Linked DNA regions of Caenorhabditis elegans. The protein of the gene in region 3 purifies or fractionates together with the protein of the main gene of each other region. This does not show direct contact. Each region holds a gene or a part of one and is shown on either strand. Other genes may lie near its edges. The genes, in order: epg-2, atg-13 and lgg-2.

Region 1 (10,972 bases), on a different chromosome or scaffold from region 3:
TCGTGTCGCTGAAAATGTCACCAAAACAAGTGTTCGTCGAAGTGTTATGCCTCTCAAAGTGGCTCAGAAAACGCCGGTTGCCGCAGTAAAATCGGATGCTGCTACTGCAGGAGGTGACAGATCCCGTGACCGTACACGCCGTACCAATACAACGGCTTCTCGTCGAAGTGTTTTCCCCAATAAGCCTGCTGCTGCTGCAGCAAACACCACTCCAATTGCTCCACCGCGGCGTTCGGCATCGGCGAACAAGGCAACAGCGCCGACGTCGGTGAGCAAATTGACGCCGAAGATTCGTCCGATTGCAACAGCCAATCGCTCATCGATTCTTCGAATGAATGTTGTGAAGCCAACTGTTCCGGCTCCGGCTCCTGCTGATGCTCAACAGAATAAAGCGGCTTCACGTCCTGCTGTTCCAGCTGGTGGAGCAGCTCGTAACCGGCAGCCGCTTCGAGTCAACCCGGGAACTCCGAGCACAACGATCAAGAAACCACCAGTGGTAATTTAAAAAATTTGCCTAATTGTTTAATAAATCGAATTTCCAGGCTTCATCCGTACAACGCCAGCCGCCGACTCGAGCTCGGTCAGTGGACCGTTCTGGCCAACCTCCAATTTCGGCTTCCACTCCAGGGGTACATTTGTGCAACGTTTTTTTTTCTATATATATATTTTTTGAATTTACAGAAAGCCTCCCGTGCTGACCTTTTCAACAGACTTGCCACACCAAAGGTTACTGCTACGCCAACGAGGACTTCACACGAGGGCCCAGCGTCGAGTATCCGAAAATCTGCTGTGCGCCCTGTGCCATCATATGTGTACAGCTCCTACAAAGGGTATGAGAAGAAACGATGGATTTATTGAACTCAAAATTCTTCAAAAAAGGAAAAATTGATTATTTAAACAGAAAAAATTGTAATAACAAATTGAGAACAATTTAGGCGGGCATGAAAGACAAAAACAATTTGCAATGTACAGTAAAGTGTGCAATTTAGAAACAAAAACGAACAAGAAATTAATCAAAATTGTTATTCTTCGTCGACCATCTCCCATTCAGCCTTCTCTTCCGATTCCGTTGATGCTTTCGGCTCCTCGTCGAGTTCTTCAACTCCCAAATTATCCACCAACTTCTTATGAGCATCATTCAACTGAACAATCTCTGCATCGTGAATTCTCTTCGTTTCGATTGCAAGTTCTGTGTGCTCGCGAATGGTTTCCTGGAGTTTGTCAATTGTGGTACGATCCGAGATTCCTTGAGATGTCAGAACGCGACAATGATTGCCAAGAACATTGTATTGCTGTTTCATTGATACCATTGCAGCTTGGAATTCGTTAATCTCGGCATTTTTCTCATCTGTTTCCTTCTTAAACTGGGCTTGAGTAACCTCATTGATCTTTTTTAGCTGCTCGATTTCAATAGTGGCGTAATGGAGACGTTGTTGGATTCCGGATTTCGCATCTTCCAAGAGTGCTACTTCAAGTTTGTGATGTTCAGTCAAATTTCCAATTTCTTTCTGAGCATTAGCTCGAGACACTCTGAGTGCAATACATTCTTCAGAAACGAGAGTCATTTTGCTTTCTAAAGCCAAATGTGCGGTTCTGAGATCATCTTCGGAGCTCAAAAGCAAACTGCACTGGTCTCTCAAGCTTTGATGAGCAGCATTGGATTGCTCTAGTTCGTTTCGTACCGTCAAAATCTCATTGGCGTGCTTCTTCTTCCCAGATTCCAGAGCCATTTGTCCTTTGATCAACTCCTGATTAATTGCCAACATATGATTGTACTTCATATTATCAATTTGCTTGGCGTACTGTTGATGCACAGCAACCATTTTTGCATCCATCTCACTCTGCATCTGGCCTTTTTCGATGTCCCGCTCCTGAATTGTTGTGCTCAATTGTTCGCGGAGACATTCACATGTGCGATTGACATCTTCTTTCTCCTCCTTCAAAATTTTGAAGTCCTCCTTCAGATCGTAATTCTCCATTCTGAGCTCCATCAGTTCGGTTTCAGACTCACGGAGCAACTCAATCGTGTCACTGTGCTCGCTGGAAAACGCAGCAGCTTTATCACTGCCAAGTTTGAGTTGTTCTTCAAGATGAGCAATGACTGCTTCATCCTGTTCGTGTTCGTCCTTTCTGAACTGTAAGCATTCACCGAGTCTTGCAATTTCATCTTCCAACTTATCGCGAAGATCTTTGTTGAAACTGGTCACCGCTTCTGTAACTTCAGCTTTTTCCTTCATTGCCAAACGAGTAGAGCCAAGTTCCAGGCGAACATCGGACAACTCGTTGAGCAAAGCTCTAATTCGGTCAGTCAATTGCAATCGTTCAGAGTCAAAGTAGTCATTTTGACTCTTCAACTTTGTAATTTCAACTTCAAATTCATTCTGCTTGACCTTCCAGTTTTCCTTCATTTGATGGATCTGCTTCAAGGTGTCTTCTCTTCCATACATCAGATCATTCAATGCAGATGTGAACTCCTTTGTCTGCAATTCCAGTTGAAGCGAAATCTCGTCTTTCCGCTCAACAATATCTTTCATGGCAATATCTTTTTCACAAACTTCACGTTCCAGCGTCTCAATGCGGCTCTCGTGCTCTTCGTTTTCCGTTTGGGTTTTCTCGAGCTCCTCGTTACAGTTATCCAATGCAAACTGGGCACATTGCCGAATCGATTCCAACTCGTGACAATCTTTTTGAAGTTTTGTATTCTCATCTGAGATCCGCGTAAGAGCTTCTTGAAATTTTTTCGAGTCGCTCAACCAGATCTTTCTGAGCTCCTCTTTCATCTCTTTCAATTCCAAGTTTTCGGCCACAAGATCTCGGTTCAAAATTTTGAGATTGTTTTCTTCGGAGGTCGTTTCTTGAGCGGACGATGCTTTTTCTTCGGCTTCGTCAAGCATGATCTCCAATAATGTGGAGTAGGTCTTGGCTTCCACGTTTTCCTGAAAAATAATAGGTTTATAGCTTGAAAAATTGCAATTTACTAATTAATTAAGTTCCATTAATTCTATTATTAGTTATATTAAGTTAATTAATTTCATTAATTGAATTGATTTTCTCAATTCTCTAAATAGTGAATTGAATAAGTTGCTCACCTTTCTGAGAAGCACAACTTCGTCCTTCAACAACTGGTGTTCTTCTTTTTCCTCAGCCAGCATTTTGTCCAAGTTTTGAAGTGAGTCTTCAGCCAATTCGATCTAAAATATAAACACTTGTTCATGGCACATTCAACTATTTTCAAAACTCCAGAATTCATTGAAAACACGTGGTGTCAGAGTGTCTCATTTCGGCTTGATCTACATAAATCTACAAAAAAATGCGGGAGAAGAGACACAGAGTTCTCAACTGATTTCGCATGGTTAAGAACATATTTTTGTGCAAAAAATTCCCGCGTTTTTTGTAGATCAAACCGTGATGAGACAGACTCTGGCACCACGTGTGAAAATGGATTTTTTGTGTCTCAACAGAATCTAGAACAGCTCAAATACTTACCGGCTCTTGATCCTCTGCTGACGATGAAAAAACTGTGACAGTTCTGTTGGCACTCATTCTTTTGAAAGCTGTTGAAATTGAGATCTGCAAAAAATATCGATTATTGAGAGATGTGTTACACACACAAAAATTAATAGTGAGACGAATGACAAGGTCACCATAAAAAATATTCGAAGAAGGAGAAAGAAAGCTTGCGAGGCTGTGAGAGGAAAACGGCGATCAGGTAGAATATATAATTCAGTTGTTAGGCATTGTGTGGTAGTAGCTAATGACTGAGAATTGAATGAAGAACCCGAGAAGAGAGGAATGAATAATATGAAAGAGAGTGAAAAAGAGAGAGAGAGAGAGAGACGAGAGATATGGGTGGTCTCGGGGAGTGAAAGAGGGAGAAATGGCAACGGTTTGGATAGCTCGACGAGAGCAAAAGAGACAGCCTCTGCATAATGCTCTGCGCTCTCTTGCTCTCTGCATATTGGCAGCGTCTAGCCACCGAGAGATGGGCCACGGTAAAAAGCGAGAGAGAGAGAATGGTCCGACTGATGTAATGTACAGGCCAAGGTTACAATGTGGATAGTTGTGGAGGACTGCGCGTTTGGTTAGATGCGCCACTAGGGCGGGGCTGCTCTGTGTTTGCTCTCTGGAAATAGCGTTGTGTGAGCAGAAGAGGGAGATTTGGGAAAGTCGGGGTCACGTTAAGGGTCAGAAGATGATGTTAAGATTGGGGAAGGGGTGAACAGGTGAAGTGGAAATAGTATTGAATGACTTTTTGGTGGTCTTTGATGTCGAGAAAACAATGGATATATATGACAATCTGGAAGATTTAGAGCATTACATTACAGAAATTCAAATTTTAAAGGTGGTGTAGTCGAATTTTTTTATTGTCTTATTAGACTCGATATTCTCTCAAAACACCGAGTTTCACAATGAAACTTCTTGAAAACTTTTCAGAAAAAAGTTATGACGGCTCTAAAAATGGCCTAAAATTAGTTAAAATCGGAAATTTGACCGACTTGTCAATGTCGCAGTGGCTGGAAATAATTTTTTTTGATATTACCGCCAAATTTTGAGTATACAAGTCGATTACCTCGCGTTTTAAACGAGTATTTAAAAATCGATGGACGGCGAGTTTTGGTTAAAAAAATTAAAAATCAAAGATTTTTTAATACCTTAATCAAGTTTAAAACGTAAGATAATTAACTTGTATACTCAAAATTTGGCGGTGATTTCAAAAAAAAATTGTTTCCAGCTGCTGCGACATTGATAAGTTGGTCAAATTTCCGATTTTAACTAATTTTAGGCCATTTTTTGAGCCGTCATAACTTTTTTCTGAAAAGTTTTCAAGAAGTTTCATTATGAAATTCGGTGTTTTCAGACAATTATGAGCCTGATAAAGCAATAAAAAAAATTCGACTACACCACCCTTAAAAGTGGGAAGTTAGGAAAAGTTATAGGATTTCGAGCTAATAAGGAATGTAATCAGTAGTTTTGTAGGGCAAAATTAGGTGCCTACAAGGCAGGCATAATATGCCTCGAAGATGCCTATCGATAGGCGATGAAACATTTATCTGACTACATGAAAACCTAGAATTGTAAAATTATTTTTGTTGTCTTAAAATGATAAAAATATAGTCTAAAATGACTGGCTGGAGTAGATAAGATTCTTCGATTTTTTTCATAGAAAGTTTTTTAAAAATCTATAGAGATGTAATGATAAAATTCAATTTTTCATCAAGTTTTGTTACTAATGACGGAAGAAAAATATCAGAAAACAACATCTTTTCTAAAAAAAAATGGCTAAAACTTGAGCCATTTTTGCAAAAAATGCTATTTTTCTGAAAATCGAAAACGAAAACACAATTCCGACAAATTTCCGGTTCGCCGATTTCCCGAAAATTTTCGTTTTCGGCAAGTTGTCGATATGACGGCAATGTGCCGATTTTCCAGAAATTTTCATTCCGGCAATTTTTCGATTGGCATTCGATTGGCACCTAGTAGGCATTTTGTGCCTACATGAAAACCTAGAGTTGTGAAAAGATTTTTTCGACAAACCGGCAAATTGCCTAATTTGACGACAAACCAATTGCCACCCACCCCTGATCTGGTACAAAAAATAATTTCGAATAAAAAGCATACATTTTTGAACTTTTAAGATTGGCAATGCTAATTGTAAAAAATTTGGAAAAAAAATACCAAAATATTCTAAACAATTCTTTTTTCAAATTTACTAATTACTAATTAAAAATTTTCCAGAATGCCATCTGCCGGAGGTCTTCACGGAATTCGTGCTCCATCAAAGGATCGTTCGACTCAGAAGCCACCAGCAGCAGCTTCTACTCCACAATCGAAGCAGTAAACGAATGTACATATGATCGTTGTCGTATTCCAATGGGACCAGCTTCATCTTCACCGCGAAAATTAATTTTAAAAAAAATATTTATGATGATTCTCATTGATTTTTTTGTCTCATCCCACCCCCTTATACCGTATTTTTTCTCTTCTTCATATCCATAGTTTTTGTTGAGCTATCTTTTCCCGTTCACCTTTTCGCGCGCGCGCACTGATCTACTAGTGTTCATTATTTCTGACTAATTCTGTATAATAGACCGGCCCCCACACACACATGTTTACAAAAAAAACCGGAAGCCCACACACACACACACAGATTTATTCTTATTATTATTATACCTTTTCTTTATCATTCAATCCAGTGAAATTCACATCCTTATTGTTGTGTCTCCTCCACCCGCCCGCCCGCCCGCCCGCCCGCAATGAACATTTCTTGTAGATTTCCCTCTTTTTGTCTGAATTTTGCGAAAGGTTTCTTCTGAGCCAAGTTTGTTATTTGAATTGAAATCATCGTTTATCTTGAAATTTTAGGGAAAAAAGAGAAAAAAAAAGCGAAAAGAAATTAGGAAAAATATTCGGCGGTGAGAATCAGAGGGGTTTTTGGAGGGGGACTACAAATTTTTGAATTTTTTAAAATTCACAAAACAAAAAAATAAGAAGGAAATGAAATTTTTTGATTGGGGGGGGGAATAAAAGGGGGAAATTGTACAATTGTACATGTTTTTGAAACAATAAAAAACTAATTTGCGATCAGTACGACTATAGAAGTTGGTACACACCAGAGGTGGGCGGATATTTTTTTCGGATATTTTCTAATAATGAATTTATCAATAAGTATTGATGTAGTTATTGTGGAAGAAATGTATCCGAACAAAAGAGTAACTATTAAGCAACATTTTAATATGATAAAACCTAGAAAAATTCTACAAATTTTCTGTATAAACGATATGCAAGTCCATTATCCGATATCCGTAAAATCCGATGTTGCTCGGCTAATAAGTTTTAAGGTCTCGGTAAGGAAAACTTGTTGAATTTTTCTAGGTTTTATCATATTAAAATGTTGCTTAATAGTTACTCTTTGGTTTGGATACATTTCTTCCAGAATAACTACATCAATACTTATTGATAAATTCATTATTAGAAAATATCCGAAAAAATATCCGCCCACCTCTGGTACACACATTTGTAATTACATTCAATTTGTGCATTTATTTACATTTTATCAGTTATTCTGCTGCTGCTCTGCTTCTTCCTCCTCCTCTCCAACCAGCTCCCACGAGTTCTCGGCGGTTGTCTCGTCTTTCAGTTTTGGCATATCACGGTACTCTTCATCTTCTTCAGAATCAGAAGAATCCGATGAGCAGTCCGAATCACTCGAGGAGTCACTGGAACAATCCGAATCATCGGATGATTCCAACACCTCGACGCCCAGATTCTTCTTGAGCTCCTCGTTGACTTCCTTCAGTTGATCTACCTGATCGTTCCAGCGTAGACGATCGAACTCTTGAGCCTCGGATTGTTCTTTGGCATCTTCGGTGAGCCGGGCGATCGAACGACGTGCCTCGGCGAGAAGATTTTTGTTGATAGATGAGGTCTGGAAGAGAGAAGAAAATTAGAGATTTTGAAGCAATCGTTGCGGTTTGATCTACAAAAAATGCGGGAATTTTTCTCCCAGTAAAATGTGACGTCATCAAACACTTAGCCACACGCTCTCCTCAAGGCCGAATAATTATTAGAGCGCGCTTGCTGCGCTTGGCGTTTCTGCATCCGTGGCATTTTGACTTTCCACTGAAAAAAGCAGATATTTCAGATTTATCGAATTTTTAGCTTTTAAAATTTTTTTTTCTGCATTTTACGAACAAACCTTTTGTTAAACAGTGAAAATCGAATTTAAAATGATACTTTTGAACTTTTTTCGTCCACTGGTTGTGAAATGGTTTGAATTTGAAGAAATCAACGGGATTTTTCTTATTTTCTAAATATATTTCTATTAAAAATCGGTTTTAAACCATTTTTTGACCCTAATGTTAAGTCACAAATGTATTAAAACCGATTTTTAATAGAAAAATATTTAGAAAATAAGAAAAATCCCGTTGATTTCTTCAAATTCAAACCATTTCACAACCAGTGGACGAAAAAAGTTCATTTTAGTCATTTTAAATTCGATTTTAACTGTTTAACAAAAGGTTTGTTCGAAAAATGCAGAAAAAAATTTTTAAAGATAAAAATTCGATAAATCTGAAATATCTGCTTTTTTCAGTGGAAAGTCAAAATACCGCGGATGCAGAAATGCGAAGCGCGCTCTAATAATTATTCGGCTTTAACGAGAGCGTGAGCCATGCGAAATCAGTTGAAAAGTCTGCGTCTCTTCTCCCGCATTTCTCGAAGATCAAACCACGCTGTCAGAGTGTCCCATTTCGGTTTGATCTACGTAGATCTACAAAAAATGCGGGAGTTGAGACGCAGACTTCTCAACTGACACATGGTTAAGAACGTGCTGACGTCACTTTTTTTTGGGAAACAATTCCCACATTTTTTGTAGATCAATCCGTAATGGGACAGCTTGGCACCACGTGTGTGTGTGTTCAAAAAGCAAAAAAAAAAGCACTTACCATTGTCAAATTTTTGAGCTTCTCCTCAAGATCTCTAACCGTTGAGTGTCGTTCTTCGAGGATTTGCTCCCGCTCCATCGCCATGAGCGCTTTCACATTTGTCATTTCCATGTTCGAGAACTCGACTGTCTTCCGCAAGTTGTCTGCCTCCAGCATCTTCTGATGCGCCTTCTTCTCCAATTCGTCGTTGGTTTTGACGAGATCTCCGAACTTTGTGAACAGTATCTCGGCCTTTCCTTTGTACAAATCAACATCTTTTCTGAGCCTGTCACGATCCATTTGAAGGCTTGATACACTGTTCTGGTACAGTTCGCACTCGCTTCTGTACTGGGCAAGCACGTTCTCGACCTTCTCCTCGAGACCTTCGTTTTGCTCCTCAAGATCTGTGATCTTCTGTTTCAATTCGATTCGGACGGAAGTTTCATTCTTCCATGCATTCACATCCTTCTTCAAGTCACTGAGCCACTCGACTTTTTCCATACGTTGAAGCTCACAGAGACTATTAAGCTTTAAAATCTCATCTTTCTTGGCAGCAAGCTCTTCACGGCGTTGCTCGGAGAGCCGTCTAATCGACGCGGTAAGCCAGGTATTCTTTCTCTGCATGGTTCTCAACTTTTTTCCTTCAGTCTTCCGTTTGCCGATCAACTCGTAGATCTCCTCTTCCAGCTCAGCACACTCGACATCCCACTCCTTCACTGCGTTCGCCTGGACTGATTTGGTATCACTCAATTGGACATTGAGATCATCAATCTCGGCCAGGAGTCGAGTAATCTGTCGTTGCGCCGCTGCTTGTTGCGTTGCCAACAGGCCCTCGAGCTCGTCGATTTTGCGGCGACATTCACGAGATTCCTCGTCGAAAATCTCCCGCTTGTCCATCGTTTCCTTGGTTGATTGGAACAACATTTTCTGCAATCCACCAATTTCATCACGAAGTTTGACACATTCAGCATTCCATTTCTCCTCGACGCGCTCCATGGCATGACAGAACTTGGCCTTCTCATTCGAGAATGTCATCGTTTGCTGGGCGTGTTTCTCGGTGATTTCGCCGATCTGTTGCTTGTAGGCGTCACGGAGCTCCTCCAGCTCTGTCATCTCCTTATTGAGGTTGGCAATTTGGTTCTCGAAGTTGGCACAGTCTAAGAGAAAGCTCTGTTGCTCGGCGATCAAGAAGCCCTTGTGGAAGTTGAGCTCTTCTTCCATCTTGCACTTCTCGACTCCTCTTCTTTCGAGATCAACGCGGAGAGCCGAATTGGCGTCTTCAATTTCCTCAATAGCTTCAAGAGCATCTTTGAGTTTTCTGTTCAATTCCTGAATCTTCATCTCATTCTCCTGGAACATTTTCTGGTCGGCACGAATTCCACTTGGTTTCGATGAAGATTTGAGTCGTTCAAAGTCGGCGGTGATGTTCTCAAGACGTTCGTTCCACATCTTCTCAGAGTTCTTCGTATGGTTCAAGATATCCTCCTTCTGAGCCTCTAGCTTAACATTCTCTCTTCTGAGCTGAGTTTCAGCCTCTTTGAAGTGCTCGGTCAACTTGGCCTTCTCAGTTTCCCACTTACGACACTGATCGTTCAGCTCGTCAAGCATCAACTTCATGTTGTCGGTATAACTGTTTGAGGCGTAGTCGGCCGGCTTATTGTAGAGGCTCTCCATTTTCTCAATTTCCTCGTGCAACTCATCGACGTCCTTCACCAACTGATTCCGTTCGCGAAGCATCTTCCCGAGCTGATCACGAGTTGTAGCCAACGTCGCCATCAATTCCTTATTCGTAGATTCCATGACTCGAATCTCGTTCTCAGCACTGGCGAGCTTCTTCTCGAGCTCCTCAACTCCCGGATGCGTCTCATTGCGAACTCGTTCTAGCTCGTGCTCACAGTCAGTGCGAAGAGCCAACGTCAGTCGAAGACTCTTATTCTCATCCTGAAGCTCGGTCACTCGACGCTCAAGTGAGCTGCTAGTCTGCTGATAGGTGGGAAGTTCCTGCTGCTGAGACATTTTGGAGATCTGCGGATAGGATGATGCTCTTCAACTGCCAAGGAGACGGGGCAGTGTAAAGAGTGTGAAGCGTTGAGTTTTCTACCTGAAATAGGGGAAGTTCGTAAATGATGGAAGCTTGGGAAAAAGGAAAAAAGGAAAAAAGAAAAAAAAAGTTGAGAAGAAAAGAGAAATAGGCAAGTAAGGGGCAAGAAGAAGCATAAGAGTCACGTGCGTACGCACACGAATACGCAGACACCCAAATAGAAATCGATAGAGAAGTGTGGCGGGGGTCCACGGAAGGTGTCCTGGTCTCTTTCCGTCTCTTTATTCTCTCTATTCTCTCGCTACACCCTTCGAACGTTCTCTGCTGTGCACACTATAGATTGGAGAACACTCGTCGGAAAATACTATAGATTTCTATCGTCCGGGGGACCGAGATGGAATCTGTAGAATTGTTGGAAAAGTGAGCAGGAAACCGGGAAGAGATAACAATTGAACGGGAAATTGGAAATTGGAAAACTGTAATAGTTTGGGAAACAACTACAGTTTGG
Region 2 (10,972 bases), on a different chromosome or scaffold from region 3:
ACTCGAATTATCCAATCTTTCAGATAAAACGAATCGATTATCGCTTCCAAAGAAACACAATGGGTGGGTTAACAGGACATAAAGGATCAATTGGTGTACGTCTTCAACTTGCAAGCCCCTACTCAATAGTATTCGTTGATAGTCACTTCATACATGGCCCCGAGAATTACGGGAAGCGCGTTGAACAGTATCATACCAATAGAAATTGCTCGTTTCCAGAGGATAAGAGTGTCAGGTAATTGGATCCGCGAAAAATGAAAATAGTTCGATAAATGTTGTGCTACGAGTCGTGGAACTTGAGATCCTTCATAATTTCCATAATAAGATGACCTTTTTTTATTGTTTCAGAGCAGCATTCTGGTTTGGTGACTTCAACTTTCGCGTAGAAGAGGATGTGAATACAGTCATTAGAAAAATCAAAAATGGAACTCATCTAGAACTACTCGGTAATATAAATATTTCCAACGACGTGGACTCATTCCTCACAGCTTCCAGATACACGTGAACAATTGAAAAGAGCATTAGTTGAGCGTGATGCATTCATTGGCTTTCACGAACAACCGGTTACATTTGAACCAACTTATCGGGTTACTGTAGGCACTACAGAGCAGGATGGAAAACGCGTTCCATCGTGGACTGATAGAATATTGTACAAAGGAGATGGAATTACTGGATTGTCATATACTAACAATAAAAAAGCAGTGGCAAGTGATCACCTACCTGTAGTTGCAATGTTTAGAGTTACTGTACGTAAATGAATTAATATATTAATCGATTGATCAATGTTATTGCAGGCACCCGCTGCACCAAAACCACAATGGGAAGTAATTTTTGAGCATCTACCCACTTGGTACACATCAATTCCATTAGTTGGAAGATTCCAAGTGAATGAATTATATTACAAAGAAAATGGAAGTTATCGTGATTGGATTGGAGTTTTTCCGGTAATACATTATTATTAATAGTCAGACAGAAAATATTTTGGAATTTTCGTGGCGAAAATATGATATCTGGTCTCGACGCGGCAAATTTGTTAAATGCAAAGAGATATGAGCAGAATTTTTGCTGATGCGGAATTTTCATTGATTTTTTATTGTTTTTTTTTTAAATATAACAGTATATTTGTTAATTTTTTTTAAAAATCGTGTAAAAACTATTTTAAAAAACGTATTAAAGGAAGAAAATTCCCCAACAGCGAAAATTCGAAGTTACAGTTCTCTTTAAAGGCGCTCGCCTCTTGGTATTCAACAAAGATTTGTCGTGCCGAGACCGGGTAACATATTCTTGGCACGAAAATCACAAAATTTTGTGGTTAACTCGCGTATTGGTTTTATTGATTGGACACTACACCCATTATTTTTATAAAATTATTGATTCATTTCAGTCCAGCATCAACGACTGTACCACTGCCACAAATTGGATCTATGCTGCCACTTGTTTTGAGCAAGTAATTGAAGGTAGCAAATTTCTGGCTTGTGAATTCAATAATATTCCTGCTGGAAACTACCGTCTTGGATATTTTTCTTGTCATCTTCATTGTCTTGTTGGATTGTCAAAAGTCTTTCAAATAGTTGAACAACCATAGCTGTATTATAATATATTATACCGTATATCTTCTATTAATATGGCCTCCCTATTAGACTTGCACTCACTATTAGTATTTCCCCTCGGAGACCTTCCGAAAATTAGTATGGTACTCCCTATTAGTGTTACACTCCCTAATAGTCTTGCGTTTACTTCTTTGGTGCAAACCCTCTTTAGTAATTTAAAGATTTTTATAACACTTATTGCTTATTTTGCAACAGTTTTTCACAACAGTTCTACGAGATTAAACGTTTTTGAACTTATATGTTACAATTAAAATCAAGTTTTCTGAATTTTCACATAAGATTCGAGCTTTTTCAGAAAAAAAACTAGTAAGCTCAAAGTCAGAAAAATGTTCTGAAAATTAGTATTGCACTCCCTAATAGTCTTGCACTCCCTATTAGTATTGCAAGCGGGAAGACCATCGAGAAATAGTATTGCAGCCATATTAATAGAAGAAATACGGTAGATTTCATATGTATTTTTTGTACAAAAAATCGATATTTTAACCTCGGTACCGGAGGATTTAATTTACTTGCCAAAACTCGTAACACTTAATTGTGATTTAGTCAAACATATACTATAGTCCGGTCCATATCTGTGCCAAACATATTAACTAGTGTACAATATTATTAATAAAGTGATTTATTTCAAACTTTATTCATATTATGGATTCAAAATTAGCAGTTTTTCGTTTCCACAGTTTTACCTATTCTTTAAAATAAACTACCTTCAAAACAAATTGTGAACATAATTTTTCCGAGCCATTCCCAGTGAGGCCACATCTGTGTATTGCACCCAAAAATCCTAGTCCTCGAGTTCTCGGCCATCACGTGAAGCAGGCGCACCCAGCACTCCACAGTTATTGATTCAAGAACCGATGACAATTGTGCACATTGAGCATCTTTACACTTTTAAAAATTGCTATCAAACATTGTTAAAATAGCCAGCTGCTCAATATGTACTGCCGTTCTTGCACCTTTTATCCTTGAACTCTCCAGTAGAGCAGCAATTTCAAAAACTCGCTCTCAATGCAGGATTATTTCAGTTTTCAAAAGTATTAACTAGGATTTTTTCTTCTAACTCCATTTAAAACACTCTTCAACCATTCTATTTTCACCAAATTCTTCAACATCTCACTTTCTCTCTACCACCTCTCCAGTTTATTGTATCACTCATCTCGTCTCTTTTACGCTCATGTGACTACTACCATCGTCTTGTTTTTCAGATCAATAATATATTATTTAAACATGGTAAATGAGTACGACACGTACAACAAATGGCTCAAATTCTTCTCGGTGCGAATGGTTCAATCTATAATTCAGGTATTTATAATTTTTTTTTTAATTAAGAGTATTAATGCTCCGAAACTCATTTGTTTTATTGAAAATCCGAATTTATTGGCGCCATTGTATGTAAAAAATAATTTAGTAAAATTAAGTAAAATTCAAACAGGTCTGAGACTTTAATGGGTACTGTAGTTTCAAAATTTCGTTGAGCTTAAATATTCATCGATTTTTCATAGTTTTCGTATGAAAATCTATTAATTTATCGAAAAAAAAAACTAAAATGAAACATGTGAAATTTCTGAAAAATCAATGAAATCTTTTGAAGTAAAGACATAAATTCCGCAGCACCGATCAAAGTTGGAAACTACAGTACTCTTTCAAGGCGCGAACATTCTCGCATTTAACAAAAAATTTGTCGAGACCGGGTACAGTATTTGTGGCTCAAAAAATAAAAATTTCGCATACAATAGTTACCAAACAATAAAAACAAATCAAAATTTCCTAATATTCCATAAATTTTCAGTCTCGCCTCGGCGATGAAATTGAATCAAAATGTGTACCGTACTCGGAAAACGCAGTCGACTGGTTCAATATGCGAATTGACGAACTCGGTGAAATCTCAGCTTATCTTAAATCCAACATCAAAAGTTATCCACCTGTCGGAACTCTTACTCTCGAATTTCTACTCTATACACCCAGTGGACAACTATTACCACTTGAAGCGTGGATTCTTAGCTCATCAGAAGGAACTGATGATTGTTCAAGAAATGAACTTTATCATGATATGAGCACATTGCTTCGATCAGCAATTGTATCAGCCAGAATGACTCCAATGCATCGATTGTATGTGAAAAAGCAGCACTTGGAGACTTTTGTAATTATGTATAGAGTTTTTGAAAATGATATTTCATCTGATATGGGAAAAGGAAAGAAAACTAGAAAAATTGGAGAACTTGTATCAAAATTTGGAAATATCAGTCTTGACCTACATTACCGAACATCAATGCATTTCGAGGAACCAGAGATTGCTCCAGTAACGTAAGGGATTAAATAGAATAATTTCCGATTTTAAATAATTATTAAATTTCAGACCTGTTGAAGATGTAGAAGAGGAAATTGATGACGGGGAAAAGACAGTTGTAGATGAAAATATTCAAACAAGAACTGTCTCAGAATGTGTTCCAATTGCTGATGCTAAAAAAAGAAAAGCAAGTGGAAGTGTTGAATCTGCTACAAGTGCTGGAAGTTCTGTAAGTTTTCAAAAAAATTTTATGCAAAGTCAAACGAATTAAAAAATTTAAGACCTCCCGAGAAGCTGCTCCTAGATTTATTCTTGGACAATCAACATCAAGTGAAGACTCTCGACATTCAGATGTTCAAAATTCTTATGAAGAAGATCACAAACCATCTCTAGCAGATCTACGAAATCATTCATTCCCATTCGTGAATCTACTACAGTCGGCATACAATCCAGCAAATGGAACCAAGAAAAACTCTTCTTCTACTTGTCTCAGTAAGAATATAAAAATAATTCAAATATTTATTATTAAATCTAGATTCTCCAAAATCAACTCCAGAAGACAAAGAGCCAACGATAGAAAAGGTTGCTGAGAGCTTCCGTGCCGCTAAAATCGACGAAGTTGTATTTGAAGAAGATGAAGATGAAGAGTTGCCACTTGATTCAATGGAGCTGAGTGAAGATTCATTTGTTCATGTAAGCCTTAGTTAATCAACGAGTCGTTAATTATTTCATTTCAGTTTAATCAGCTATCAGATTTCGGTGGTGCGCCAAGTCTTGGTAATGAGCTGGGAGACTATCTGAAGCAGCTGAAAACTGCTCCCGATATGACAGAATCCGGTGATATTGATATTTGTAACATGGACTTGAAAACAGAGGTGAGTTTGGAAATAAATAGCTAATGGCATTTAAACCAAAAACTATAACTAATTAACAAATTCAAATTTCAATCAAATTTCAGCTCGAAAAAATAAGTTCTCAAACTGCCAACTTCAACAATTTCCTGAAACACGTCAATTCGTTCTCCGATGAGTGACTTTTTTATTGAAAATTTACAATCTCCCATATTGTATACATCGCATGTACACTTTTCACACGTTTACACTCGTTTCACAATTTTTTGTGCACATATTGTTTTTTGAATATTCATAAATGTATAGTTATATAAATTATCGGGAACACTTTCCATTGCGACATTGCTCAGAAGTCTTGCAACATGCATTTCCACATTGGTCCCGAGTAACTGGACAGTTCTGAAACTTTTGAAAGTTTATGGGTTTCTCTGTGCAGTTTGAAAAACGTATACAATAAGTTTTTAATTATCTTTGAACTTGTTTACCGATAGTCTTGGGAAGCAGCGGTTTCGAAGACATGTCTGATCAAAGTTACAACATTCATAAGCAGAACATTGTGATGCTTGTACTCCACACCGGCTCGTGGAAGCGGAAGCTGGAATGTAAATCCAAAGATCATTTGAACAAAGAACTAAAAAAAAACCTTTTGAATAACTAGGTGTTGGAGTACTTGTTGGTTTTTTCTTGCCAAAAGAAAAGATTGATGAGAAAATATTGTTGGAAGCGGCGGATTCTGTTGACACCACAAGCACCAAAATTACAAGAATCAACGATAAGATCTTCATTCTAAAAATATTTTTTTGGAATATAAAAATAAAATGTGTTATGGGTTTGACAATTATTCAACAGAGACTTCAACGAAGAAGAAAGAGAAACAGAGAACGAGAGAAGAATGAGCAAGTGATTAATGTCAGGTGATAGAGGATTAGAAGCTCCCCTAGAACGCAGGCAAATCGTGTTGAGACCAGTGTTTCAATATTAATCATCTTAGCGAGAGATATATAACTTATAATAAGTAGGGATTACTCTTAAAATTAATTTTTTGTTTGACCGCAAATCGCTACCTTGGGTCCTGGCACGATCGAAATTTTTTCTCTACCGTGCCCTCGTGTATTTATTATACAAATCTCAAAAAATAAGCTATGTAAGAAAATAGCTACAATACTTGAGGGTACTGTAGCTGAAATGTTTCGCTCGTGACAGGATCCTGTGATCAGGTCCTGACGATAGGAACCTTTAAAATGAGCAAAATTTCAACTTGAAACAGGGGTTGGTAGTTTTTTTTTAAATTATGTAATTTCAAAAAACCGTTTCTGTAGAGTTTTCAAACAAAATGAAATTTCATGGAAAGAATCAGTTAAGAACTGAAAAATTCAACTTACTAATCGATTTTTATCAATACAAATGTTCAAATAATCAAGTATTCTGGCCTAGTTTCGAAGATAACACAATTTTCAAAAAATGACGAATTGACATAAAAAATTTGGAAACTAATTTTGTGACAATCCTTTGTTCAAATGGCAAGTGATTCATGATGCAGTTTAACAAGAAAATATCTTTGATCATTTGAGCAAATAAAACGTTCGTTTTATTGCGATTTTCTGACATTTTTTTTGTGATTTTGCAGTTTTTGTGATGTCATTTCATATTGTTTTATTATGTTTTTATCAAAGAAAATAAGAAAAAAGGCATAAAAAGAATGAAAGTTGGTAGTTTTGTTTGTCTGCATGTACATATTTGTGTTTCTTTACTCCTGATGATGATGATTCTGATTGTCATTTGTTGCCTCAAGGGCCATATTGATTGAAGCTGGTGCACGTGTATTCGCGTTCTTTTTGAAAATTTCGCGAGCTTCCTTATTGCCATCTGCTTCGAGAATATTGACACAGAGACGATCACGTTTGATTAGGTCACTGGTAATTCGGGCGATCTGTAATCAAATGTTCAAGTGGGTTGTGGGGTGGGTATGGTATACGTGTTCTATTTTTGTATTTAACAGGCTTTGAAGATTTCAATTTTGCTATTTTCTGAAACGATGACTTTCGACTAGAAACTCCACGCAACCTGGACTTTTTTGGTGGTGGTCTTTTGGCATATTTTGGCAATTTGACTTTCTTTTGGTACTTTGGTATTTTCACTGATTTTGGAATTTTTTGTTTTTTTTTTCAGACATGCGCGACTAAAAGAGAAGCAGACTTCAAAAATGTAAAAAAAAACGTTTCAGGAAGCTACAAAAATGCAATAACAGAGAGAACAATAGAAAATACTTTTATATTTCCGATATCCATATTTTAAATTTAAGCTAATTTATCTAGCTTCTAATTTTCCAAAAGTTTAGAAATTTTTAATCTAAAACCTGAAACCTGAAAACCTAAAACCTTAGTTCAATCGGGATTGAAATAAAAATGTTCAAAAATTGAAATTTTGTGTTAAAACTTACATGAAGTGGAAGACTTTGTCCAGGCTCAACAGTTGCATATACAGGTGTCACTCTGTACATATTGTTGTCACTGCATGTGATTTTTACTGCTATCCGATCTGAAATATTTGTATTAGTTTTTTGACATTTTTTCCCAATTTTTGCTTGCTCATTTGAAATTACAACCTAAATCGAGTTACTCAAAACCATAGCTCAAAAAAACTCACTATCAGAATGATTCATAAGGGTGTGTGTTGAGAGTCCTCCTTCGATTGAAAAACGGGCGACACGTGGAATTACAGTAACCCCAGCAGCAATGTGGCAGCAGCATGTGCATCCTGGCTGGCGTTCTGATCTGAAAGTTATAGATTTATTTTGCTGTTTTTCTACATATTGTATTGTATGTTATTTTTCATGTATTTTCCAGTTTATTTTCAAAACTAAGCTAAACTACTATTCCATTTCATGTTGTATTTTTCTTATGTTTCTTAGTAAACAATGATAATCATACCTAAAACTGTCAAGTACAGAACGTGGCCTGTCAACTGAAAAACTTGGAATCCGACAAGCTGGTCTCACATTATAGATATTCATCAGAAATTGTTTTTAGAATTCAGGAACAAAATAGAAGAAATAGTTTCCTTTTTTCGTATAAAAACGGAATAAGAGGCCTCTCGTCTCTCAATTCAGTTTGTAGCGACAATTTAAAACATGAAAATTGCTCGCCGAGCTCTGGTCTTTTCCGGAGAAAATGTTGGATGTTTGAAAAATTCTAAGGTAATAATAGTATATAATTGGAGAAAAAAATACGTTTTTATGATGAGAATTTAATGTTTGTGGTCTACATTTTTGAATTCGTTGAGGAAGAAATTTTGAAGATTATCCAATTGTGAGAACTTTAAAAAATCTGTTTTGTTTTTTCATTTATTTCAAGATTTGAAGTAACTCTTGAAAAAAATTAAGTGTGAAATCTTACCTTCCTGAGCTTCTGCTTGATCTAGCCGACCGCATTAGGTACTCCATATCCGAGAGAGCAATAGCTGAAAATCCAATATTAATAATATTGTAAAAGGTAGAGTTGAACCAGTGGGGAAATAATCGAGGCAACTCTTTTCGAAAACTTTCTGAAGTTGTTCTCCTCGAAAAGTGACTTTTTGGTGAGATAAGCTTGTTGAAAATTTGAGTCAGCTTTTTATATTCTGGGCGAGCCCGGCACTTTGTGAATTGTATCAAATTAAGCCTCGAAAAATGCTTACCTATCATTGGTTCTGGAGCACTAATCTGTTGTTGTGTCTGTCTTCCAGTTTGTCTTCCAGGTGTCAATCGAGCCGTCCCAAAAGGACGAAGAGCAGCTGAACTTGAAGAAGCCATTGATGATGAGCGGATGTCTTTGAAGTTCTGAAATAAAATGAAATATTGAAGAAGAAAAAGATTGAAAGGAGTTGGTTGGGGTTGTTCTGCAGATGACACTTCTATGGAAACGTCACATTTTGAAACGGGAGGTCGGAAAGAAGAGGTCAATGATGTATCCATGGGAGATGTATATGTTGAATGGCGTTTTAATGGAGTTTTTACACTTCTCTATTTTTAAACGTTGACCGATTCTTACAAGAATCAACATGCAACTTTTATAAGAAAGCCTGTCATATTTCCTTAATTTTCCCTTCTTAATAAAATTTGTGAAGAATATCTGAACATTTTAGAGAGATAAAGGTTAGTGAAGTCTCCATACAGTTTAAAAGCGCCCTGTAGAACCCCAATCGAGTGGAATGTCTAAAGACAAAAGAGTTTTCCCATCTACCATGGTTTTGCCTCTGGAGCAAGATTATCAGGTACGGTGATTATCCGAATTTGTACTACAGAACAATGTCACTTCCAAAAAATGAAGCTGTCCGAGATATAGAGCTCAAACGAAAAAGAGACACTGTAACTTTTTTAAGATGTGAAATTTTTCGGTTCCAATGTTCAAACTCAAGCTATAGCATGTTTTAACCAAAAAAAAAGTGTGTTAGAACAATATTTCATGGCAACGGAAGACTTCAAGCTCACTTATACAAGAAAAAGGAGCAGCACATTAAAAAAGGAGAGAAAGTGCTCCGAATGTTCACTCCGGAAATTGCTGGGAGCAGCAGCAGTCGGTAAAAAAATGAAGGCGTTTTGGGAACGAACAAAGAAAAAAGAATGAGCGAGGGAGGTGAAGGGTACAATTAAAGTACGAAAATGTAAGATGAAATTGGTTTGGTCTTTATGAAAATAGATGTTTGACATTTGCAAAAAAATAATGGCATTTCTCAAAAATGAAGAACCAGAAAATGAGTTTTGAAACAACGGAAAACTTCAATAAGAGGAATTGAATTTGTACTATTTAGATACCCGGTAAATTGATAAATTAACAGTTGATACCTAAAGTTTATTTTTAAAATAAAAATGATTTCCAAAAATTAAAAATTCATTAAAGGTATATTTAGGGTATTAGATTTCTCGGTTCTTATTTTAAAGTTATCAGTTTTTGAAACTGCATAAGGAATATATCTCTTTATTGGCCAAAAAAAGTAAGTTGGTCAGAAATTCCGAAACAAAAAATTTTGTCTAATTAGACCTATCTTAATTTTTAATATCTTCAAATTTTTTCTCAAACTAAAAAAATTCAAGTCTTCCAGTGTTTACACCTTTGTGAGAGTCACCGAAAGTGCTCCAAAAAGAGCCCAAAAAAGAAAGTTTTGTGCTCATCGAACATCATCATCATTTCTAGTTGAGAGAGAGAGAAAGGTCCGAATGAGTAGAAAAAAGCGAGAGAAGAGCAGCAGTACATTCATAATAGACATAATATAATTGCTCAGCGGCTCGAAAAATGACGGCGGTGACTAGGGCACGACCACAAAGGATAGAAGATTGTTGTGTATGTATGTGTAGATGTGTGTGGACGGGATTGTTGGGTCAACCAATGTGGGGGTGGCATGAAGTTTATAGAAAGTTTAGAAGATATTTTCATGCTTTTTATTATATTCAGGTTGTCTTAATTGCATTTTTGAAATACTCATGAAGATCGAAGCTGTGAAGTTGTTTCTATACGAAGGTCAAAAAGTTGTACCACGAATAAAATTCACGGTTTATAATTTGAAATCTTGATTTTCAGATTCTCAACTGTCTAGAAACTATGGAAACAGTAAAAACTTATTTTTGCAACTTTGGAGCAATCCGGAAGTTTTGCAAAACTTGCAACTAAAACTAATTTTCCAAAACCAGAACAATTGCAAACTGGAAAAAATTACAAAAAAAAACAAAGATCAACTTTTTCAAAACCGAAACCCAAAAAATGAAAACCAGTGTCCCTTCAAAAAAGTTTTGAAAATTCGCGGTGCCCCCCGCTCCCAGTGACAAGGGAATTTAAAATGCGAGTGTGGGAGGAGGAATGAAAAGAAAATGAAGAAGAAAAGATCAGACAAGTTATGACTCATTTTATTCAATTTTAATTACAAAAGTGCACATTTTATTTAAAGCTATCAAACGGGAAATATATTGAATAAAGTGCAGCTATAGAATATGTGATTTGGATTAGATTAATTCAAAAACTTGGAGTCTTTTGACGTCCTAACTGTCTTTTGACTTGGAGAACTTTGGAGTCAGAAAATTTTAGATTTTGGTTATAACAACTTCAGTAAATTATATAAAAACTCCAAATTATCATTGAAAGGTCTACTTTTTCTGTTACCAGACAGGGGAAACATGGTGAAAAGTTAACAAATTAGATTCAATTTTAAATTTTAAATTTCAAGTCCAGAAAGTTTTAAAGTAAAATGAGGAAATG
Region 3 (4,478 bases):
TAAACCCAATGTTGAGACGATTAGAAGGTGGTGGTGATGACTTTTGTTTTGGAGAATCTGAATGCTGATTTTTTATTTCAAGAAATAAGCGAAAATATTAATATTTATTTTTGCGACTCACTTTTTATTACAGTGTGCAGCGTAGAGACTGCATATGGTACAAAATGTTGGCAGATTAGTGATACTAAAACTGAGATAATGATGACTGTGGTTAGTGAATAACCTTGTGGTGGGGCCGATTTCGGATCTTCTTGAACTACTGAAAATTATATGTTTTTATTTGGAAAATAATCAAAAATGTACCATTTAATTTGGAAGGTCTTCGGGTTTTTTCCAAAAGATAGGAGAAATCATCGGAATGAGTTCGTCTTCGAACTGACATCACATTATTTAAAACTATCTGCAAAAAAACAAATTTTCCAGAACTTATTCATGCATTTGAAGCGAAAACAAGAAAAAAGATCTGCAAATTAATTTTGAGCATGATTCCACCTTTCGCTTCGAGACCAGAGTAAAAAAACGTTAATGCGCCTTTGAGTTACGGTAGTACTGATTAATGGTTTGAACACCAAATGCATTTTTTTTCGATTTTGGCATGTTTTCCTTCTTTTTTTTCAAGTTATATCCGAAAAACCTAATTTAAAAAACTGAATAATCTTTTATCTAAATATTAACCATATAAATATCGACATTCCACTCGATTTCACAAGAAATTTCTTCATCTTTGAAGTTCGTACGCGGAAAATGCTATTAAAGAAAAGAAAATAAACGAGACGCAGACAAATGCACACGGCGTGCGCAGTAACATATCGATTTTGAGACGTAAACATAATTGAGTTCACTAGTCATGAGAGTCTGTTTACTCGTACATCGATTTTTCACTTTTCTTTCTTTCCCCTCATCACTTATTGTTTTGCTCTTTCCATAGTTTCGTCCTCATCTCAAAACTTCTTTCGAAATTATTTAGATACCCGCATTTTCAACAACGGAAAATCTAAGGAAACCCTTAAAATGTCAAAAAAATATCGCAGATTGCCAATTTTTGCTGTGAAATCTTGATCATATTTCATCACTTCTCCCTTTTTCGAAAATCGCGTCAAAGATCTAAAGTTCCGAGAAAAAAGTTTGCAGAAAAAAACGTCAGTTGTTCTGATTGGGAGTAGTAGATTCAGACTGGAAGTTCTAGAGATCATCTGGTTCCCCTGCCCTTTATCTCTCCCTGCCACTATTTTCAAAGTACAAGCACTTTTTTTACGTAGACCGATATAAAAGAGTTGGCTGGTATAGATAAAATCTTTAGTTTTCCGTTAATTTAAACGGCCCATTTTAATATTAGAAATTTTCATTCATAAAACCAAGCATTTTCACACTAGAACATTAGTTGAGAAGTTTTCTAGGAAGTATTCAATTAAAACGTTTTCTCCTATAACTTTCTTAGTGTCGCCAACAAGTCTCGCTGTCATATTTATTTAATTCGTTGCCACTCATCGTTTCAAATTTCGCTATCATTTCATCTGTCTGACACTGCTTCGAACTTCTGTATTAGCTGGGAGAAGGGTCATAATACACACTCTCATCTTCTCTAACTCTATTCTTTCTTTTCCCCATCTATTCCTTCATCACATGATTCTTCTCTTCTCATCGTCTCTCCGTCTCGCGGTCATGTGTCCTCGACGCTCAGTCGATCTTGTGGTGTGAGAAAAGAGAGTAGCATCAATGAAGAGACACAGAGGACAAAGAGACATACAGCAAAAGAGCGTGTGTGCTGCCTACTGCCTCTGTCTCGATTTTTCCCTCTGTCCCATTCCCTTTCACCTGTCTTTTCGCTTCTTGATAAAAAAATTCTCACAAAAACATACAGTGTCCTTTAGCATCTCACACTCTAATTTCTCTTCTAAAATCAGTTTTCTCAACTTTTCAAATACCAGTTACCATTTTTCAAGTTTGCAGATCGAAAATCGGGTCTCAGCACGAAAAAGTGAAGAAGCGTTTATGCTAGCCACGCTTCAAAGTTACACACAAACAGCGATGAGCGGAAATCGGGGAGGATCTTACATTTCCGGAATCGTTCCATCGTTCAAGGAAAGAAGGCCATTCCGTAAGTTTTTTAAAATTCATTTACTAATCAAACAATTGTCATCAAAATAAAAATAGAGCTTCAAGTCTCACTTTAATTTTACTTTAACATCAAACATCTGGTTTTCATCCCAACCAATTCATTCCCAATCATTCCCACTTTTTTTTCCTTCACCCGTCCATTGTAAAAGGTCAGAGACGCAGAGGACAGACACCCCGCGTCATGCGTTTCAGCGAGAGAGCATGAGGAAACAAGAGACAATATGCAAGTGAGACATGTGAAAATCAGCTGATCTTGTGTGAATGAGTGACTATGTCAGTGGAGCAGCACCCATGGAACATTGCGTATTAATTGGGTGCTCTTCGTTGTATGAAAGAAAGAGATAGATGGACCTGAGAAACAAAGATCAATAGGGCAGGTGCAAGGGAAATAGGATTATAGGAAAATTTGGATCAATATTGATATTCTAGAGTTCAAAATATTGCCCACCATTCAAGATAACAACCAAAACTGAACGTACGCCAATCTTTAAATAGAAATATGAATTTTACGAGTGGAAAAGAGAAATCCAGAACTGAGGAACAACTTTTTTATTTTCAAATTTTCGAAAGAAAACCTTTTTAACCTATTCGATTTCAGATGAGCGTCAGAAAGATGTGGAAGAAATCCGCAGCCAACAACCGAACAAGGTTCCGGTAATTATCGAAAGATTTGATGGAGAACGCAGTTTACCACTTATGGATCGCTGCAAATTCCTAGTACCCGAGCATATAACCGTTGCCGAGCTCATGTCAATTGTTAGACGACGGTGAGCTATTCAACTGAGTTGTTTTTTCAAAATCATCCGTTTGCTTTTCAGCCTCCAACTTCATCCACAACAAGCATTCTTCCTGCTCGTCAATGAACGCTCAATGGTGTCAAATTCTATGAGCATGTCCAATTTGTACAGTCAAGAGCGTGATCCAGATGGCTTTGTGTATATGGTTTACACGTCTCAACCAGCATTTGGATAACACATCAAGAGCCGTTTTCCATCACAATTCTAATCAATTTTTAAATTTCCACCAACACCACTGATTGCCCAATGCAATCCTCACTGTAAAATGTTGTATTTTTAAATGTAAATACCTGAAAACCCATCATACTCAGGCGCCAACCATTTTTCTAGTTGCCTTTGCTAATTTCGCCCCTCGCAATTCCCCACCTCAAAACTTCCAGCTGAAATTTGTTTTACAAACGAAAAAAAAGAAACCCAAATTCGCTTACGTTTTCGTGTAGTCTTTATGTGTTCCCTCATAACTCTTTCTCCGCATTTTCCAGCCCGTTTCTTGAATTTCTTCATGTCTTCTTTTCACAACTGATCCTCTTTCAACAAAATTTAAACCGTTTACGATTCTGTGTACTTGGCTAGTCTCTAAAGCCCATAGGGACTATTTTCCTTACTGCCCTGAACATTGAAATTTACCGCTATGGACTTTCTGACTGCCTAGACGGATTCAATTCAAAATTATTACATCTTGTTCCATCGTTACTTTTCCAAATTCAATGTATCAAATGTTTTGTATGTAATAACAACTTTTTCGTCGTTTTTATCTGGAGAATGTTCATTCACAAGGAGATCACATACATATATAATAATAATAAGAGATGATGATGATATCAACGATTATTCTTCTTCCTGGGTTGCGAATGGATTGGCGATTTGCTCGAGTCCATCTGCTGGGCTAACTACTGTAATTGCTGTTCCGCGAGCCACAATAAGACCCAGTTGTCTTAAGATAAAAGATAAGATAAAATCGAAAATCTAGATTTAATTTGAAATCCAAGCTTTAAATCGATTTTTGGAAATCTATCAATTACCTTGTCTCATCACCGACGACCGAAGGATTTTGTGGATCACGGAGATACTCGCGGCAGTCATCAAGAACCATATTGAGCAACTGATCGAATCCTCGAAGCACGCCACTTGCTGAAATTTATACATTTTTATGGAGTGAAGTACAGCTTGTGTATGTTGGACGCTTTCATATTGTTTAAATAGTTTAATGACGGAATCTTATTGCTAGTGCACATCATTGTGCAAAAAAAAAACCAACCTTCACGTCCTCCTTGGAACTTGACGCGAATCTCTTTGTCGAGAAATCTGGTGAGATCAACGACAGACTCCTTCTTTCGTTTTCCTTCGTCTTTCTAAAATAATACAACAATTATAAATAACTTATTCATTGTATTTTTAAAACATACCGACATTTCTCTGTGTTGAGTTGTGGTGAGTCTGAAATAATTCCGAAATTTTGAATGAAATTATCGATTACGAATGAAATAAATTAAGCTGACAAAATCTTATTGATTTAGAATTTTTTTAAACGGTATTTTTAATTGATAAATTATGATTTAAAAT

The links.
Region 1: the proteins of lgg-2 (region 3) and epg-2 purify together in Caenorhabditis elegans (affinity purification with western blotting, with the first as the bait; one study listed by BioGRID). This does not show direct contact.
Region 2: the proteins of lgg-2 (region 3) and atg-13 purify together in Caenorhabditis elegans (affinity purification with western blotting, with the first as the bait; one study listed by BioGRID). This does not show direct contact.

Annotation. Positions count from the first base shown.
Region 1 is NC_003279.8:2,292,684-2,303,655, reverse strand, and holds epg-2 (Ectopic P granules protein 2), read right to left. Parts: upstream 3,571-10,972; 5' UTR 3,544-3,570; coding exon 3,487-3,543; intron 3,192-3,486; coding exon 3,090-3,191; intron 2,937-3,089; coding exon 1,023-2,936; 3' UTR 859-1,022; downstream 1-858. Other genes in the region: tpxl-1 (TPX2 domain-containing protein), read left to right, coding at 1-496, 543-629, 682-830, 5,737-5,839; Y39G10AR.11 (TPR_MLP1_2 domain-containing protein), read right to left, coding at 7,055-7,426, 8,445-10,439. UniProt on the Caenorhabditis elegans protein: Involved in autophagy. Thought to act as an adapter protein that brings PGL granules to autophagic structures containing lgg-1.
Region 2 is NC_003281.10:8,150,031-8,161,002, reverse strand, and holds atg-13 (Autophagy-related protein 13 homolog), read left to right. Parts: upstream 1-2,812; 5' UTR 2,813-2,834; coding exon 2,835-2,909; intron 2,910-3,396; coding exon 3,397-3,911; intron 3,912-3,963; coding exon 3,964-4,123; intron 4,124-4,175; coding exon 4,176-4,386; intron 4,387-4,429; coding exon 4,430-4,587; intron 4,588-4,631; coding exon 4,632-4,769; intron 4,770-4,852; coding exon 4,853-4,927; 3' UTR 4,928-5,056; downstream 5,057-10,972. Other genes in the region: inpp-5K (Inositol polyphosphate 5-phosphatase), read left to right, coding at 24-235, 349-446, 496-746, 795-944, 1,385-1,585; D2007.1 (uncharacterized protein), read right to left, coding at 5,061-5,144, 5,231-5,340, 5,389-5,530; D2007.2 (Major sperm protein), read right to left, coding at 6,493-6,675, 7,186-7,283, 7,392-7,519, 8,141-8,204, 8,421-8,562. UniProt on the Caenorhabditis elegans protein: Component of the unc-51/atg-13 complex required for autophagosome formation. Required for the degradation of germ cell specific P-granule components such as sepa-1 by autophagy in somatic cells.
Region 3 is NC_003282.8:10,933,376-10,937,853, reverse strand, and holds lgg-2 (Protein lgg-2), read left to right. Parts: upstream 1-1,950; 5' UTR 1,951-1,992; coding exon 1,993-2,098; intron 2,099-2,716; coding exon 2,717-2,885; intron 2,886-2,936; coding exon 2,937-3,090; 3' UTR 3,091-3,658; downstream 3,659-4,478. Other genes in the region: Protein adenylyltransferase fic-1, read right to left, coding at 1-57, 122-259, 304-382; lsm-7 (U6 snRNA-associated Sm-like protein LSm7), read right to left, coding at 3,744-3,849, 3,938-4,046, 4,174-4,267, 4,322-4,327. UniProt on the Caenorhabditis elegans protein: Ubiquitin-like modifier involved in the formation of autophagosomal vacuoles (autophagosomes). When lipidated mediates tethering between adjacent membranes and stimulates membrane fusion. Less effective at promoting membrane fusion than lgg-1.